2 linked regions of the Mus musculus genome follow. The protein of the gene in region 1 interacts with the protein of each later gene in a pairwise test. Links are inferred from orthologs where the notes say so. Each region holds a gene or a part of one and is shown on either strand. Other genes may lie near its edges.

What was found.
Region 2: the proteins of Plekhb2 (region 1) and Cda interact in binary tests that used the Homo sapiens proteins (3 or more experiments, as listed by UniProt). The two-hybrid records come from large-scale screens. The link is inferred for Mus musculus from reciprocal best matches to the Homo sapiens genes PLEKHB2 and CDA.

Annotation. Positions count from the first base shown.
Region 1 is NC_000067.6:34,866,913-34,870,732, reverse strand, and holds part of Plekhb2 (pleckstrin homology domain-containing family B member 2), read right to left. Parts: intron 1,434-3,820; coding exon 1,328-1,433; coding exon of another isoform or gene 1,242-1,327; exon of another isoform or gene 1-1,241. UniProt on the Homo sapiens protein: Involved in retrograde transport of recycling endosomes.
Region 2 is NC_000070.6:138,337,755-138,341,038, reverse strand, and holds the end of Cda (cytidine deaminase), read left to right. Parts: intron 1-2,038; coding exon 2,039-2,155; 3' UTR 2,156-2,511; downstream 2,512-3,284. UniProt on the Homo sapiens protein: This enzyme scavenges exogenous and endogenous cytidine and 2'-deoxycytidine for UMP synthesis.

The sequences.
Region 1 (3,820 bases):
AGCACTGACTGCTCTTCCAGAGGTCCTGAGTTCAATTCCCAGCAACCACATGGTAGCTCACAACCATCTATAATGGGATCTCTTCTGGTGTGTCCGAAGACAGTGACAGTATACTCATATATGTAAAATAAATAAATCTTAAGAAAAATAAAGCATTTAAATAAAATTGTCATGTTTAGTAAATAAGAATAGAGACACACCATTGGTTTGAATTTCATATAACAAATAACTTTTTAAGTATAACTATGTCCCATTAAACAACAACTAATTATTTTGGGAGCTATAGAAAGAATCTGAGAGGCCATGTGTGGCAGACGCACCCTTTGCCACTGAGCCCCAGGGAACCTCTTGTCTCCACATCCCCAGTGCTGGGACACAGGTGCACATTGCCATGCCTGGCTTTTATATGGCTCTTACATGGCGCTGGATCCCATCTCAGTGCGCATGTGTAACCTCCGGTGCGCACGCTCACACAGCAAGCACTTCACCTGCGGAACCATCTCCCCAGCTCCTTAGTCTTACTGTAGATTTGTACTGTGCCACCAGAATGCCTTCTAAGTTGTGTGGTTTCATTACACTATTCCTTACTTATCATGAGCTGCTAGTGTTTCAGACTGACTGGCAAGGGGGCTGGAGAGACGGCTCAGCAGTGAGATCACCTGCTGCTCCTCCAGAGAGCCCTGCTTCAGTTCCCAGCACCCACAAGTCAACTCAACCATGTATAACTCCAGTTCCAGGCACCAAATGCCCTATTCTGGCCCCGACAGGCACATGCACTTATGTGCACACATCTACAGACAGGTACACACAGGGAAAACTAAATCTTTTTAAAAATGTTTAAATTGAGTGACATACGGGAAATGTAAGCAACTAAGGTATATTTGGTTACATTTTAAATAAAGATTACTAAAACCTTTAAATAATCAAAGACTGGGCTGGAGAGATAATTTAGTGGGGCCAATCTGACAACCCAAGTTCAAACTCTGGGACCCACACAGTGTTAGGAGACAACTGATTTCCTTGAATTGCCCTCTGGCCTTCCCTCATGGGCTGTGACATACATGTACCCACACACATATGTGTAACAAGTGCACACAAAATCAATAAAAATGTAATCGTTTTTAAATAAAAATCACTCTAGCACTGTAAAGATATGTGAAAACCCAAAAGACTATTTGAAGAAAAATACACAAAGCTCAGAGCGGCAAAGTGATTTGGGGTCTCCAGTGAGAGCGTGCAGCTCATTTAACTTCCAACTGGAAAGGAGGCCTCCTCCTCCTCGCCCCGCTGTACGCAGAGACCGGGAGCGGCAGCCAGCGTGCATTACCTGCATACGGGTACTGGTATGGCACTGCATATGCCTGCCCGTTGGCGGCATAGACAACTTGAGTTCCTGCGGGGTATGCGCCGCTGTATGGACCATAGCCGTAGACCTGGAAGGAGACAAAGTCCCATGAGAAACACAGTTTTGAGGGAGGGGCTGGTGAGTTGGCTCAGTGGGTAAAGGCACTTGTCACCTAGCCTGATGACATGCTGTGTCCCCTGAAACTCACATTGTAGAAGGGATGAGTTGAGTTCTAAAAACTGTCCTTTGTTAGCAATAATGAAATCAACATACTTAAGTGAGCAGGGGTGCTGGGGGAGGGAAGGGGAGACGAGAGATGATGTGATGATACATACATGCATACATATATACATACATGTATACATACATACATACATGGGTGGCACCTGACCTCCACAGGTGTGCAATGGCGTATCCTAAATTGGTTAGTGGAGACACTGGTAACTCAGAAATCCCAATGAGTACAGATAGAAAAGGGGGAGGGACCAGGGAAAGTTTGCTCTCTCTGCCCAAAGAGCCAATAACTCCTCTACTCTACACAAACACTAAGAGCCCACTGCAGGAACACCCTATTCCCATCCCCAAAGGTCAGAGGTGGAAGCCCTAACCAGCATGCGCTACAACAGCCTCAACTACAACTACAACAGCTACAGCAAGCCTCCCCTGACCCCCTAGAGTACAGCCAGAAAAGGATGCACGTGGAGGATCTGGTGTAGACCAGATAACAAGGCACTCACTCTACCATGCAGCAGACCGAGGAGTGAGCCACAGAGTCCATCACTGCCGAGCAGAGGCAATCTGCCCTCCCCACCCCTAAGAACCACTAAAGGCCTTGTGGGGGTGGGTCAGCTGGCCGGACACCATGCACCTGTCAGTGGAAGTCGAGCAGTAATGGGCAGTCCTCTCTTCCCAACAAAGTGCTCTAAGGAGACTCAGAGAAAATCTAAACTCCTGAGCTGGAGCCCGGCCCCCGCTGTGGGCTGAGAATCTGGACTCCACCTGGCAAGATCCGAGTCTCTCCATGTTTAAAATGTCAGGGTTTTGACCAATAATCACTTTTAGCACGAACAGCCAAGATCGCAAACAAAATGACACAGAAGAAGGCCCACACTGAGACTGTAGAGATGTCAGATGTGGGCTGGAGTGCAGCTCATTGGGCGGAGCTTGCTAGGCATGCAAGAAAGGCTAGGTTCCAACCCAGCACCTAGGGTGAAAGATGCTAGAATTATCTAGAAAGGACTTGTGTATTGGGCTCTGGTGTATATATGTTGTGCAATGTATGGTGCAGGGGCAAATGTACATGTATAGAAGGTATACACGCCCATGCATGCATGCAGAGGCCAAAAGAGGACACTGGGTGTGCTCGCCCAATCTCTCACTCCCTCTACTCCCACACCTTATTCCCTTGAGATAGCGTCTCTTACGGAAAAGATTTTTTTTCCTGCCACAGTCTACTAGTTCTTTAGAACTTTCTATGTAGGCAAGGCTGACCTCAAACTCATAAAAATCCACATGCTTCTGCCTTCTGAGAACTGAGTCTAAAGGTGCGCACCACCACACTCAGCTCGGGAAAGAACTTTTTCAAGACAGGGTTGCTCTGTATAGCCCTGGCTGTCCTGGAACTCGAAATATAGACCAGGCTGGCCTCGAACTCATGGTGAGCTGCCTGATTCTGCCTCCTGACTGCTGGGATTAAAGGGGTACGCCATCACACTTGGCCCTCTAGAAAGGATTTTAAAGTAATTATTATAAAAATCTTTCAGTTAATAATTAGGAAATGAACATACTTAAATGAAAAAAATTAAAAACTCTACCCAAAATAATAAAAAAAAACATATAAGAAAAACTCAGTATAATACATACTATATATTAATATACAAAGAATACAAGTTCTGGAACTAGCCAGGGTGTGGCGCTGCACACTTGTAACTCCAGATTTTGGGAAGCTAAGAGAAAGTGATCAAGCCTTTACAGCACCCACATGGCTCACAGGGCTCACAACTGCCCTTAACTCAAGTTGCAGGGTATCTGGTGCCCTCTTCTGGCCTCGGGGTGTACTGCATGCATGAGGTGCTCACAGATACCTGAAGGCAAAACACTCATACACACAAAATAAAGTGTATCTTTTAAAAACAGACAGTTACATACAACCATTTGAAAATAATGGGATAATTATAAATCCAACGAACGTGTACTAAATTTTTATGCTGAAAACTGTAAAATGTTGACAAAACAAAAATAAAATAAAGAAAGCCAGGAATAAAAGCAGAGTGACAAACAGAGAAGTCCACGAGGCTCAGAGCAGCAAACACGCCTTCTCTCTAAGCGTGATGCATTGGCTTACAGCAGCTTTGTCAGAAACCTTGCAAGGCTTTGCAGTTAATACAGATAAACGGATCCAGGGCTGGCCAGATGGCTCGTTGGATAAAGGTGCTTACCGCCAAGTCTGCTGGCCTGAGTTTAATCTGCAGGACT
Region 2 (3,284 bases), on another chromosome or scaffold:
AACTCGCCCGCACCAAGCTCACCCCCTCGCCCTCAGGCACAGCTTGCTAAACATGAAAATTCACCACCCTTGAAACCTTAATTCTGAAAAATCCCAAAGATTGATAGTGTCTGGTAACCGTGTCTGAGAGTGATTCAGACAGACACGTGGAAGAACAGGAGGCGTGGACCAGCCTCGGCTGGCAGCCCACACATCAGTCACGATGCCACGGCCTCTGAGAACTGGGCTCCGACTAGGCACCAGGGTCTGTGAATCTCACCATGCCTGCCAGGAAGAAGTCGGGTCTGTTGACTTCCTCTCTGTCACCGACTTAACTCCCCACCTACCCACCTCGCTGGTGGATAGGAAAGGGCTCCTATCACTAAAACACGTGGTGGGTGAAGACAGAGAGCCCCAGAGGACCCAGATAGGGCATGGGAGAAAGTTCTGGAGACATGCTCATCTCTGCTGATGTATTAGTTAGTTACCTTCCCACTGCTGTGATGAGACACCATGACCAAAGCAGTTGAAGTTTACTTGGGGCTAATGGTTCCAGAAGGTTGGGGTCCATAATGCAGGGACGGCAGATGAGAGACATGCTGGCTGGAGCTGGAAGCTGGAAGCTCACATCTGGAAACTCCCTCACATCTGGAACAGTGAGCAGGAAACAGAGAGAGTGCTGGAAACCATGGATTTTGAAACCTCGGAGCCTGCTTCCAGCGGCTCTTCCTCCAGCACACCCATATTCCCCAACCCTCCCCAAACAGGTTGGCCAACTGGGGACCAAGAATTCCATTGCTTTCAAACCACCACAGCTGATTGATAGCACTAAGTCTGTTTCTCCAATAGTGAAAGGAATGTAATGACAGCCACCACCTCCAGGGGGCGATAATGCTATAATGTCAACATAGTGTGTTGAGTGTCCTGAAAGAGACAAAAATTCCTTCTTGGAGGTACAAAGGGGAACCTGTAGAGGGCAGCGGGTGTTGGCTGTCATTTGCCATTGCAGAAGGAAGCTTAGCTCTGGGGCATAGACTTTGAAAAAAGATTTAATTTTTAATTATGTCTGTGCCAAGATGTGCATTTTAAACACAGTTGCCCACGAAGGCCAGAGCATCAGATCTTCGTGGAGCTGGAGTTAGAGGAAATCGTGGGCTTCCCAGTGTAGGGGTTGGAGATAAACTCGGCTCCTCTGCAAGAATTCTGAGTGCTCTTAACTGCCGAGCCATCTCTTAACTGCCGAGCCATCTCTGCAGCCCAAGGCACAGATATTTCAACCGGTGCTAGGAAGCGATTTCAGTGGTTAAACTCTTGCATATTTAACCCTCGAGGACCAGAGTTTGCATCCCTAGAAACCCAGGTGATCTGGGCAGATGCCTGCAATTCCAGACTTGGAAGGCGGAGACAGGGGATCCCCACAGCAAAGTGGCTGGCTGGACTAGTGATATGGCCGAGCTCTGGGTTTGATAGAGAGACGCTGCCTCTGTGAATAAGGCAGAGGAGCCATGAAGGATGATTCGGGACCCAACCCTTGGGCTTCCACATGCATGTTTACCCATATGCGCCCCCCCTCACATGCATACAAACACGTGTATACCACACATACATGAAAACAGAGAGAAGGGTTTTTTGTTTTTGTTTTTTTGTTTTTTTCGAGACAGGGTTTCTCTGTGTAGCCTTGGTTGTCCTGGAACTCACTTTGTAGACCAGGCTGGCCTCGAACTCAGAGATCCGCCTGCCTCTGCCTCCCAAGTGCTGGAATTAAAGGCGTGCACCACCACGCCTGGCAAAGGTATTATTTTTACAAAGCTCCTGGGAGCATCCTCCAAGGGGATGCTCGTGGCCCATTGACAACAGGCCATGCACGGTGATGTTGGCCAATGCTTTTCCACTGAGCTCTCCCCCAGGCTCTGTGAGCCAGGTACAACTATTGTTACTCCCATTTGACAGGTAATGGAAACTAAGGCACAAAGAAAATAGTAGAGTCACATTCGAACCCGTACCTTCCATCTCCCTCAGTCCCACGGCCTCCCTCACACAACTTTGCCCTCTCTTCCAGTTTGGCACCGACTGGGCCGTGTACATGACCAAGCCGGATGGCACATTCGTAGTCAGGACGGTCCAGGAGCTGCTGCCGGCCTCGTTTGGACCTGAAGACCTGCAGAAGATTCAGTGAAGGTTGAAGAATAGAATGTCTGCTGAATGTGCAAGCCCTACCTAAGGAACGGCTCTTGGAAGACTTCATAATGATGCTGTCTCTGGCTGGGCCTTGGGGACACTTGCCACATGGGTCCCAAATGGCTGGGCAAGGGTGACCTTGATTCACACACCACAGCCTCCCCTTGAGTGATGGAAGGTGCCACTCACCTAGGCCAAAGCCCACATCCTCTTGGGGACTCAGAGCACTCCTCTCCTTCCACTCCCAAAGACACGGGTATTCCAGACCCGGTCTGCCTCCCTACCAGCCTTCTTAGGCTCTGTCGTGTGACTTTTCAGATTATAAATGCCACAGCACGTGCTGTTTGAGAAGAACGTGTTTTTGTTCTTAGTCTGTGTATACAGTTCTCAGGGGTGGTTTGTCTCACGGGGCAGGCAGTCTTAGTTGCTTTCTTCTGGCAGAGGATGTGGGAGCTTCCCAGGTTGCCTCTCTAAGTGGCGTCTGAGAGCCGAAGCTCCTTGCCTCTGCGTTCTTGGACCGGAGGCCCTTAGGCAGGGTTTGATTACAAGAGCCCATTCACTATAGCTTGGACATGGGATGTGCCTCCAAGGTCCACGGACTGGACCGAGTGGGAGGAAGCTAGGTCACTGGGGATGTGTCCCTGAAGGATATGGAGGCTTCCAGGCTGTACCTCCTCTTCATCACTTCCCAGCTATGAGGTGAGCTGGTCGTGACCACACACTCACACAGAGATGTGCGCTTAGACCGCCAGAGAGGCTCAAAGTTAATGGTGCCTCAGACCAGACCCTCCAAGACCACGAGCCCAGGTAAACCTTTCCTCTTGAGCTGGTTCTCACGGGTCTTTGTTACAGGACAGAAAGCTGACTGGCACACCATTGCTAGAGAGTAGTTTGGGCCCAGTAGAGACCTGAGTCCTGGCACCACCCCCTGCCACAGTGTAATGGGAAGGAAGTGTGGGCAAGGTAGACAAGATTGCCCTCAGGACCTGCTCAGTGTCGCATGCTTTTGTGTTGTTGGTTGTAGGTGCTCAGTGGTCTGGGAGCTGGCTGCCACCTCTGTTTTTAGATGATGGGCAGAGTAGCCAGCTGTGGGCTTTCAGCCATGGCTGAGCTTAGCATAGACTCGG